3 linked regions of the Tamandua tetradactyla genome follow. The protein of the gene in region 1 interacts with the protein of each later gene in a biochemical or structural test. Links are inferred from orthologs where the notes say so. Each region holds a gene or a part of one and is shown in the gene's direction. Other genes may lie near its edges.

Evidence for each region.
Region 2: the proteins of EZR (region 1) and NHERF1 form a complex in vitro, tested with the Homo sapiens proteins (2 studies listed by BioGRID and IntAct). The link is inferred for Tamandua tetradactyla from reciprocal best matches to the Homo sapiens genes EZR and NHERF1.
Region 3: the proteins of EZR (region 1) and ICAM3 form a complex in vitro, tested with the Homo sapiens proteins (2 studies listed by BioGRID). The link is inferred for Tamandua tetradactyla from reciprocal best matches to the Homo sapiens genes EZR and ICAM3.

Annotation. Positions count from the first base shown.
Region 1 is NC_135328.1:151,860,087-151,863,829, reverse strand, and holds the start of EZR (ezrin), read left to right. Parts: upstream 1-1,222; 5' UTR 1,223-1,334; exon of another isoform or gene 1,335-1,419; intron 1,420-1,833; exon of another isoform or gene 1,834-2,117; intron 2,118-2,258; 5' UTR 2,259-2,334; coding exon 2,335-2,346; intron 2,347-3,743. UniProt on the Homo sapiens protein: Probably involved in connections of major cytoskeletal structures to the plasma membrane. In epithelial cells, required for the formation of microvilli and membrane ruffles on the apical pole. Along with PLEKHG6, required for normal macropinocytosis.
Region 2 is NC_135332.1:15,208,861-15,212,603, forward strand, and holds the start of NHERF1 (Na(+)/H(+) exchange regulatory cofactor NHE-RF1), read left to right. Parts: upstream 1-873; 5' UTR 874-1,110; coding exon 1,111-1,551; intron 1,552-3,743. UniProt on the Homo sapiens protein: Scaffold protein that connects plasma membrane proteins with members of the ezrin/moesin/radixin family and thereby helps to link them to the actin cytoskeleton and to regulate their surface expression. Necessary for recycling of internalized ADRB2.
Region 3 is NC_135337.1:91,452,488-91,456,230, forward strand, and holds the start of ICAM3 (intercellular adhesion molecule 3), read left to right. Parts: upstream 1-1,111; 5' UTR 1,112-2,010; coding exon 2,011-2,089; intron 2,090-2,677; coding exon 2,678-2,944; intron 2,945-3,743. UniProt on the Homo sapiens protein: ICAM proteins are ligands for the leukocyte adhesion protein LFA-1 (integrin alpha-L/beta-2). ICAM3 is also a ligand for integrin alpha-D/beta-2. In association with integrin alpha-L/beta-2, contributes to apoptotic neutrophil phagocytosis by macrophages.

The DNA of each region.
Region 1 (3,743 bases):
AGGTAGGACGTGCTACTTTCCCCACTTTATATTTACCAAGTTTTAGTTTGATACTTTGTGCAAATCGCGGATTACTCTCAGTGCCAGGCTCAGTTCTAAACATCTTACATGTATCAACTCATTTAATCCTCTAACAACCCTATGATATGGCATACTGTTATATGCCATTTTACAGGTGAAAAGACTATAAAGCACAAAGAGGTTCAATAACTTGCCCATTCTGACAGTGAGTTGCTGGGCAACCGGGAAAGTAGTTCAGGAGAAGATCTGGATGGCAACCTTCAGCCTTCATCCCAATCACCAAGGGCGAGGGTTGGGGAGGGAAGGGTGTTGCTAATACCCAGGCTCCTGGGCCCCACCCCCAAGAGTTTCCCATTGAGTAAATCCGAGAATTTCAGTTTGTTCGTGTTCCTGGGTGGTGCTGATGCCGCTAGTCTGGGGCCCACACTCTTGAGAATCACAGTTCTAGAACTCGCGCCCATAATCACTGTGCAACAAATTCCACTGGTCACCAGATGTGCGTGAGTTTTTGTTTTAAAAAAAGATTCCTTTTGAGAACCATTTGCCAAAAAAAAGGATAAATTCCTAGAATTTCAGAGGAAGCTTCCTACGGCATGAAATAAAGTTTTTTTTTTTTTTTGCTAGTCAAGTCAAACGAGGGCACAAATTGGTCCTTTAGTCACTGCATTCCGCGATCGTTTCCTCTCCTTGTAGCTTAGCGGAAACGGAACCGGAGGCCCGGTGGCCTAATGCGCAGAGACGCCCATGCCCGCCAGGTCCCGCCGCTCGGTTCCTGGGACTGCAACATTCCCTGACCACGAGGACGGCCCCACCCCAAACCCGCACAAGTTCCCAGGGCTGCCCGCCACAACGCACTGATTTAATTCCCTTGACTTCCGTCTGTCACCTTACGTCTGCTATCAGAAGTTAAACCAAATTCTGCCTAGGTTTTCTCCAAGGGCGAGGGAACGGGCCACGGGGAAGGCCGAGGTCTTTAAAACAACAGAAACAGAAAGCAGGGCGGGGGGTGAGGGGCAGGGGATAGCCTGCCCGAGTTTCCTCCGCTCTGGGATGGCCCCGCCGGGGTACAGGGGGCCGCCTGCGAGGCCGGAGGGGTCGGCCGGGCGGGAAGGGACGCCCGCCGCCCGCGGCCATCTTGCGCTCACCGGGGCGCACCTCACTCGTTGGGCGGCCGAGGGGCGGGGCGGAAGGGGGCGCGGCCGGGACATCCCCTCCCAGCCTCGCCCGGGACTGGCGAATGCGGACGGCGGCGGCACACCACGGACGCACAGACAGCGGCGACAGCACAGCAGACCACTTGGCAGACGCCGTGGGTAAGCCGAACGCTTCTGCCCCGGGGTGCGGCGGGGGGCTGCTTAGCGGGGTTGGCGCCGTGCCGTCGGCAGAAGGGAGCCGGAGGTAGGGGGTCGACGACAGCTGTGGCGGGGGCGGCCGGGCCCGACGGGCGGGGGGCAGCCGTCTCGAGTCCGGGGTTGGGGAGCCAGGAGCCAGCCCCTCTCTCCTCCGCCTCGCTCGAGTTCCCTTACCCGGCACCGCTCACGGTCGACCCCAGATCGTGGCAGGTGGTGGCCGCCGGCTGCGGAAACGCCCGCCTTTCTTCCACCCTCTCCCTGCACATCCCCCTTCTCCTCCCCCCGGGAGTGGAAGCGGGGCCCGGGCGGCGCGGACGCCCCTTCCTTCCTGCCGCACTCGGGTCGAGCGGGCCCTTGGCCGCTTCCCGGCAGTTAAAATTTTAAAAAAGTGTTTCTCAAAGATGTGACTGTTGTGGTTTCAGCCCGGGGGCGAACGGTTGCTACACAAAGTGAAACTTACTGTTTGCTGGTTTACTCGTTGCTTCCTTGAAACCCAGAGAAGCACCTCGCTGCCCACCCTTCGGCGAGACCCTCGTCTTCCGGGCCCCTCCCTACCGCTCGCACCTCCTCGCGGGAGCGCTGAGGCCCGCGCCCCCTTCCCCGCCGCCCGCCTCCCGGGGTCGCTAATGCTCCCTTCCCACGTCTGTCTCCCTGCCCGGGCCCACGCCCCGAGGTCGCCTGCGGCCGGCTCCCCCTCCGCCAGCCTTTCGGCCTCGAGCGCTGGGCCCGCCCGGCCCGCAGTAATTGTGGGTTGGGCGGTGACTCACCCGGGCGCCCGCCGGGCGGGTTCTTAAGCCGCGGCGCGCGGGGCGGGCGTGGGGTCTCCGTCCTCGGCGGGAGGATCCCAGCAGCCCTGTGCCTTACAGGACTGTCCTCTTCCTCCAGGTTGGAAGAATCACTTCGGCCTCTCCCGCGGAGCTGAGTTTCTAGAGAATCGACGAAAACACGCCAGGAACCGAAAATGCCGAAACCAGTAAGCAATCCAGTTTCCGACCCGGGCGGGATACTTCAAGCTTTACTTTCAAGCAGGGTCACCTGCATGAAGTGTTGTGGAAAGTAGTTGTAGTACAGGGTTCTTTCTTAAACGAACGAAAGGACGGGAATAGGGAATTGCCTTGCTCTTGGTCATTTAGGTACCTTGTGGAATTCTTCAAGAAAACATCATGGTACTTTTCTTTCTACAGTTTGTGTGTGTGAGACATCCCTCGGTCCCCATAGCTATGGTCCTTTTTAAAACAAATAGAAGCCCCTATTACACTGCTTTATAGTGTGTTCTAAAAGCGTATTCTGTTGCAACTTCTTAAAAAGAAAAGTTGTCTACATGGTAGGAAGACGCTAAGTGGCTTCAAGAGGACATGCACCGACTTGGATTTAAGTGTGGAAACCAAATGTAACCGACTTCTTCCTTTAGCCCAGGAGATGCTGTTTTTCTGGCTGTCAGCTTATGGTTCATTTTACAGCAGGCCTGTGAAACCCGTACTGTTAACCAGGGAATTTGCTGGTAGCAGCAGAATTCCTATCTCTAGAAGAGGTAATGGACTTGAATTGCAGATGAAGGTAGCCAGTGGAGCTTGATAAGGAGGTTCCTTAGACTCTTGCAGGTCATGCATTCCTGGTAAACAATACCTGATTAAAGTTCTCCTGTGCCCTTCACCCCTGTCACCTTGAATCTGATTGTTTAGTACTGGGTTAGATTGCTGGCCAGGCCTGGAGGGTTACAGCCTTTGAGTTGTGGGAATAAATCTGGTTTACTGCAAATGACATTTCTTAGAAACTTGTGTGTATGCTCCTGGCTTTAACACAGGTGAACTGGCGACTAGACATTGGGGAGATGGCTTAAAATTTTAAATTGAATTTTGAATCACAAATGTGGCTGGGTTCCCTCAGAATTGCAATAGGTTGGTTTTATAATCAACAACTGGTTAAATGTCGGTTTTATTCCTTCCCATTAAACTGTAGAGTCTGTAAAAGGAGTTCTTGATTAAGTCTTATTTTACCGTTAAGAGTAAATTAAATTACTATAATGATATGTTAATAGATACAGAAGTAAATATTATTTTTACTTGTTCTATCTTCAAGGTGATTCATTTGGGATCCAGAACATCTTTTTCCTATACAAAATAATTCTTTTCTTTTCAAATTTACAAGTGACACGTGAAATCTGGGCTTTATAATGCCAATGTTGTAAAACTGACTTCTCTAATCAGACATAGCTCAGTTAACACTTTATGCAGAAGAGTAGTCAAGAGGTGCCACTTCCAGTGTGATTTTCTTTATTTCACTAAAAGAAAAGATGCAGAGCTTAGCTTTATTTAAAATGGCACTTAGAAAACAGCAAATCTGTTTCTTATTCCTATTTTTAAAAATTTT
Region 2 (3,743 bases), on another chromosome or scaffold:
CTTCATCATTCAACAGAGTACACCCCTAACAAGAGTACACCCCAGCCTCTGATGGGCCCTCACGTGCCAAAAGGAAAAGCTGCAAGAAGGCTTCTCTTATACAAGCCTCATTTCTCTTTGTTGAAAAAAGTCAGGTGTTCTTTTCCTGCGGTCTGTATCCAGACGTGGAATTCCTGACTCTGTCCTGCCTCTCCCCACCCCAGCTCCCTAGCCTAAGGCCGATGCCATGGCCACACCACTGCCCGAGGTGTCCTGTCTTTAGACGGCTCCCCGCGAAGCCTCGGGCTCTCTGCAAAGCGCTCACCCTCCCTGGAAGGGATGTGAAGCTGCACTCCCATAAACGGATCCGGGGATAGCAGAAACTGACTCCAAGAACGGGAAAATATCGTCATCTAAGCAACTTTATTGGGTCAGAGGTGGTCCTGTGTCTTATTCACAACCCCGTTGGGAACTCGCTGACCAGGACCTGGAGCGGTTTCCCCGGCAACAATCGTCCACCCCTCAACTGAAGCTACACCCAGGATTTGGGCCGTTAAAACGTTAGGGTCCTTTACCCTAGGGTAGGGTGTCCTCAATCCCCCGCCACAGGTGGGTGAAACCAGAACGGAGCTCACGGGCCCCTCCGCCCAGTACCAGGAACTCGGCCCTGCCCCCGCCCCTCCCGCCGCGACTCCGGCCACTTGGTAACAAACACTTCCACTTCCTGAGTCCTCTTTCTTCGCCCGCCGCGGGGCGCCGCGCCGAGCACTGGCCCCGCCCCCGCAGGATCCGATTGGCCTACGACGTTCACCCGGCCACAGCGCCCCCACCCCGTGGGCCCTGATTGGCCCGCGGCGGCCCACACCCTCGGCGCGGCCCCGCCCCCGGGGTAAGGGGCTGGCGGGATTCTGGAAAGCTCAGACGCCGCGCTCCGCGGGGATTGGTCTGCGCGCCTTTCCTCACGCTTCCCGAAGTCGGCGGCCGCCGCTCCCGGGACACCTGCTCTCTCCGCTCGGCTGCGGGGAGTCCCTGCCGCGCTCCCTCCCGCCTCCCGGCCTCGCCAGGCCGGAGAAGGGCTGGGCCGGCCACCGACGGGACGCGCGTCGCGCCGCTGAGGCGTCGCGGGGCGAGATGAGCGCGGACGCGGCGGCCGGGGCGCCCCTGCCCCGGCTCTGCTGCCTGGAGAAGGGCCCGAACGGCTACGGCTTCCACCTGCACGGCGAGAAGGGTAAGGTGGGCCAGTTCATCCGGCTGGTGGAGCCCAGCTCGCCGGCGGAGAAGGCGGGGCTGCTGGCCGGGGACCGGCTGGTGGCGGTGAACGGAGAGAACGTGGAGACGGAGACCCACCAGCAGGTGGTGAGCCGCATCCGCGCCGCGCTCAACGCCGTGCGCCTGCTGGTGGTCGACCCCGAGACGGACGAGCGGCTGCAGAAGCTGGGCGTCCAGGTCCGGGAGGAGCTGCTACGCGCCCAGGACGGGCCCGGGCAGGCCGAGCCACCCGCCGCCGCCGAGGCGCCGGGGCCTGGCGACGAAAAAGAGGCGCGCGAGGCCGAGAAGAGCCCCCCCGAGCGGGTAAGTGCGGGGCCCAGGCGGGGTGACGGGGACCCGGGCGTCTCGGAGGTGCAGCCCCGCGCCCGCTGCTGTCTTTCTGGAACTCGAGCGGCGAGGAGGGGCGGCTGCTTCCGCCCGCCGACCTGGCGCATCTCCAGTTCCTAGGCAGGCCTGGGGGCAGCGTCCCACGACCCCAGCATCCTTTCCACACTGCCTGGGCCCCTGAGCGCCGTCTGCCCCTCTTCTCGGTTGGTCTTGGGGTTGGCGGGGAGGGGATGGGGGCGGCCCAGGAGAGCCCCGTCCCTTTGCCTCGGCTCTGTTGGCGTTTTCGCCCGTTCCTCGGAACCCTCCAATTAGTTGTGTAATGGCCCTCTCCTCGGCGGTCCCCACCCTGTAATTGGGCCGGCAGGAGGGACCCGCCGCCTAACCTTCCTCCTCGGCCCCTAGGAGGGGGGTAACTGAAGCCGGAGGAACAGCGAGCGTGGCCCCGACTTCAAAAAGCCAGAAGAGTCCCAATTTCCTTTACATGCGGAGGCCCAGCCCCGGAGTGGGAAGAAAGGGGTGTCGGGCGGTTACTCCTGGTCTCTGTCTTTCTCCTCTGCCCGAACCCTCCATGGTTTGCGCCCTTCTTCAGCTCTCCTGGACTTCATCGTCCTCCTGCAGACCTGTCTAAGCAGCTGTGTGGGGGAGGGATGGGAGGAGGAGACGCAGAGGCGTCTGGGGGTGGTGGCGGCTCTGCCACCCAGGAGAATTTATGATTCTCAGGAATGTGAGGAGTAAGCGCTAGCCTGTATCAGGGCTCGGCAAGGAGGACTTTGGAAGAGGAGAAAGAATGCAGGGGGACGGGTTGGCAGTCGGTGTATCATACCTAGGCAGGTGGGCTTCCCCCAGCATCCCCTGTGGCACTCTTGTCCCCTCCCAACAAACTGGTTGCTTGCTGCTTGCCTGCATTTGGTGTTGCCCCAGACGATCCCAGTTTGGATCAGCTGCAGGAGGGGCAGCTGGCAAAACAGGCATTGCTGTTCTGAGCCTCATGTCCCCTAGGGAGGGACACTGGGAGGTCCCCCCGGGTGCAGACAGTGAAGTGCAGGGCCTAGGCTCTGCCGGGGTCCAGTGAGCTTGCACCAGCTCTCCCTGGTGGCAGCGTGTAGGAAGGGTGCCAGTGGTGCCAGTTGGAGCCTCCTTGGGCAGAGGAAGGGCATAATTCGGCTTTGAGGTGGAAGGTGGAGCCCCAGAAGACCAGCTGGTTTAGTGTAAGTGAGGGAAGTGAGGTCACTAGGAGTACTGTCCAGCCGGAGCCGGGTGCTGGGAATGCCAAGGCCGCCAGGCTCCCACTTCCTGCCAGTGCCAAGCTGGCATTGGCAAGGGGTGGGGGAGGAACCAGAGCACCCCTGGCAGGGGGTTAACACCAGGGAGTTAGAACCAATGACCTCTGGTTCCAGGTGGAAAGCTGGTTTGAACTTTGTGCTGAGTGCATCGATTTGCCTTTTTTGTTGTTTGTTTTGAACTTTGGCACCAACACAAATAACGCCCCCCCCACACACACACACACACACACGTTGCGGTTGTGTTCAGCTCCTCCCTTTGCCCTTTTTGTTCTGCTGGGTGCAGTGCCCTAGGGCCTGGGAGGGAGTGCGGAGACTGGAGGCTTGGAAAAGGCAACGCACACCCAGAGAACAGCCCTGCTCTGAGGACTTCTCTGGATGAGAACAGACTGAGACTCCCCAGATGTTGGTTTGCTACTCGGCCTACCTACACTTGTTTGTACTTTGCTAGGTCAGGAGAAGGGAGCAGAACCACTTCCAGAGAGTCCTAGGGAAACCATAACCAGACCTCTCTCAGGTCACAGGTCAACAAGCAAGCCACAGGGCTTCCCTGAGCCCTGGTTTTCCCATCTGTGAAATGTGGGTGTTGTAGGATCTCCCAAATAATTGGGAGGTTCTTGAGCTCCTACTAGGTGCTTAGTTGAGCTCCTTCAGGCCCGGGCGCTCATATCCCAGATTGTGTAGCTGACTCCTTCCACCTTATTTATGGCCAGTCAGGCCTGGCCAGTCCCTCTCCGTATGGTGAGGGGTCAGGCAACCCACCTTGCTGTAAGAACTTTTTTTTATTTTCGCTAAAAGCCATTCCTTTCCTACATAAAACATCAAATCACCTTTTTTTACTTCTTTTTTTATTAATTTTTTTAAAAAATACAAGAAAAACATTCTTAA
Region 3 (3,743 bases), on another chromosome or scaffold:
GCACGAGCAATGGGAATGTATTAGCTTACAGTTTGAGGCCAAGAACATATCCAAATCAAGGCGATGCTTTCTTCTCAAAGGCTGCTGCTGGTGACCCTTGGCTCCTCTGTCACCTGGCAGGGCACATCGTGGTGTCCGCTGGGTCCTCCCTTCTTTCCGGGTTTCATTGACTTCAGCTTCTTGCATCTATGTCTCTCTCACTCTCTCCATTCCATTTATAAAGGACTCCAGCAAGAGGTTTAAGACCCATCCTGATGATATTGCGAGCCATTGATTGTATACTTCACACTTTGGATGGATTGTACGGTGAGTGAAGATATCTCAACAAAAATTAAAAAGACAAACACTGGGGAAAAAAGATGCATCCTGAAAGAGGTGGCTCATGCCTGAACTGAAGCAGCCTCATCAGAAGATCCTACTTACAATGGGCTCACACCCACAGGCATGGAGTAAGTATAGGAACATGCTTTTCTGGGGTACAGAAAACCACACGAACACGGGCCATGGGCCTGGCGTGGTTTGAGTCACTGGGACACAGCTGTGAACTAGACAAAGCTTCCTCCCTTATGTTCTCAAGATTCGATGAACTGCAAGACGAAACCAGTGAGAAAATTTTAAGTACATAAGTCGATGACTTCTGGGGGGAAAACTAAAGTCAGAGTGTGAAATGGGAGACCAGGGAAGGCCTTGCTAAGGTGCCATCAGAGCAGGCAGAGGGGAAGGAGGAAGCCAGGTGGATGTGTAAAGGAAGAGTGGCCCAGGCAGAGGGAACAGCCCATGCAAAGGTCCTGAGGCAGAGATGTGCTGGGTGGGATTGAGGCCCAGCATAGAGGCCAGCGTGGCTGGAGCAGAGAGAGGGAAGGGGAGGCGGGGAGGAGCTGAGGTCAGCGGGGATAGGAGCAGGTAGGGGCCAGATGAATACTCTGCTTTAATTTGGCTTGGGAGTTGCTGGAAGGTGTTAAGTAGAGGGGGTGCTGAGATTGGATTGGGATTTGAGTTGCTCCCTCAATACCATGTGGAATTGTTTGGGCTTGGGGTGGGGGTGGGGATCCTCCAGGTGGGAGAGGGGGTGGGGTGAAGCTTTAGGGATGGGGAGAATGGATGAAGCTGGGGCACCATCAAAGCTATCAACCAAGTCTGTTTTATGGAGCTCGGAGGCAGGATAAGACGCCCCAGAGATGGAAGCGCAGGTGGAGGGGGTCTGCCCACCTGGCCCCTCGGCCCCTTCTCTTGGAGCGAAGAGACCAGCTGTCTGGAGGGAAGGGTGATGAGGGGGACCGGGCAGGGGTGAAGGCCAGTTACAAGCAGCATCCTCAAGACCCAGGGGCCCCGGTCTCGGCCATTGTCAAGGAAAGGGCCCTGCAGGAAGCCAAAGCGGGGCTGGCTGCTCAACCCAGCTCCTGGCACCAAGCCAGCACTCAATCCCCATGGGCTCTGTTCATTTTTTAGGGCTCTTTCTAGGGGATCCCTTATTATCACCCCAAAACCTCTTCTCTGATCACCAGGAACGCTGAGATCTCACACTAACCCCTGGAGGCCATGCCTTGAACTCCTTCTTGAAATACCACCTGATCAGCTCAAAGTCATTTGCGTAGAGCTTCCCACTGACTTCCTCTCTGGGGGCACAGCGCCTCGTGCCCAAGGTTCAGCGGGAAGGCGGGGTCCCTTCCCCTCCAACTTCCCTCGCCGCTGGGGTCCTTAGTACTGAGAACAGAGGAAGACGGTTGGGTTTGCGCTTCCTGTGTGTTCATTTAGGGGACCGCAGAGCTACTGGGACCGGCTCTGTCGGGGACTCACCAGCACCCACCGCCTCGCAGGGCCCCCCCGAGCTGTCCCCTGCAGGCCAGGACCCCCAACCCGAGGCCGCAGAGCCTCCCGCTGCCCCTTCCCCAGGCCTGGCCAAGGTGTGGCCCCTGGATTTCTGCAATCTTAACCGCCGTACTTCCGTCCCTTGGGCGGCCCCACCCCTGCCCCCTACGCCACCTTCCTGTGTGCCACGGGCTGGCCACCATGGTGCCCTCGGGGATGCTGCCTGCGGCCCACCAGGTTCTGTTTGTCTTCGCGCTGCTGGCCTGCCTGCTGCCCCCAGGTGAGCTGGGGTGGGTTGGGGCAGGGTTGGTGGGAAATGGGGGAGCAGAGAAAGCCAAGCTCCCCCACATTCACTGGCCTGGCTGCTTCGCACCTTTCTTTGAACTCAGATCTGACAGAGGGCTCCCCGGTGTCCTCGGGAGGAAGTTGTGCATCCTTAACTCAGGCTCCAGGGCATCCCGGGGCCCCGACCCTGCACATAGTTTGCGTTCTCTTGTTCATCTCCCCACCCATCCACCCACGACTCCCCTGTTCTGTTGGGAACCCCAGCCTTTGCCTATGCTATTCCTCTGCCAGAAACGCTCTTCCCTTTCATTTGGTGAACTCCTATTCACCCTTCAAAACACATTGTAGTTGCCCCCTCTTCTCCAAGAAGCTTTTCCTGACTCACACCCCACTTGGGACTGGATCAGGGCCTCCCCTGGAGTCTCCCCACCCCTGATCAATCATCTGTCCTCCCCCATGGAGGGCAGGCGTCCTTCTGGTGGGGCTCCCCTTTAGATCCCAGAATGAGGAGGTGCTGAATGGTGAGGGGGTGGGGTGGGGGAAGTCAGGGGAGCAACCAACCGAGCTTTCCCGGGTCTCACAGGCATCTGGGGACAGGCATTCTCGCTGTGGGTGGAGCCCCAAGAGCCGCTGGTGCCCCCCCGCGGGTCCCTGCTGGTAAACTGCAGCACCAACTGCCCCGGCACCCCCCACATCACCCTGGAGACGTCCTTGGACAAGGAGCTGCAGGGCCGCGGCGCCAGCTGGGTGGCCTTCTGGCTGCACAAGGTGACTGATGACAGTCGGGTCCTGTGTGCCGTGTCTTGCCACGGCTCCCAGATGTCAAGCTCCACCAACATCACCGTGTACCGTGAGTGGAGTGGCCACGGGCAGTGGGGAGGGGGCGGGCCTGGGGAGGTCACGTCGGTGGGACTAGACTGCCAGCCCTGGACAGACAGGGGGGACACATCTCAACCACATGCTAAGGACAGCAGTGCTGACAGCAGTTTGTCTGGGGTCCCGATAAGCATTTTTACAATGGCATCTCAGGTAATTTATTTATTACTTTAATTTTTATGCTAGGTAATTCGTGTGCAAAAAGTATAAAAAAAAAATGGTGCAAACGCAAAATCTACATTTACCTAATGCTGATGACCAGAGGGCTCTCTTCTAAGCGCTTCACCCCTAGTTGCTCACTCAGCCCGTACAGAAGTCCCCAGCAGAGAGGTGCAGGCATGACCCTCGTTTTGCAGGTGGGGAAACTGAGGCTCGGTGGGGAGAAGCCACTAGTCAGGGTTCCCAGCCCATGAGGTGAGAAGCTGAAAGTCTGGTTCCTTTAACATTTTTTTATTGCGAAATATAACATATACAAAAAAAAATACATTTCCAAGAACATCGCAACAATGTGTTGTAGAACAGATTTCAAAGTTTGGTATGGGTTACAATTCCACAATTTTAGGTTTTTATTTCTAGCTGCTCTAAGATACTCGAGACTAAAAGAAAGATCAGTATAGTGATTCAGCAATCATACTCGTTAATTAAACCCTACCTTCTGGGTGGGCCACGGTGGCTCAGAAGGCAGAGTTCTCACCTGCCATGCTAGAGACCCAGGTTTGATTCCTGGTGTCTGCCCACGCAAAAAACAAAACAAAACAAACCAAAAAAAACCC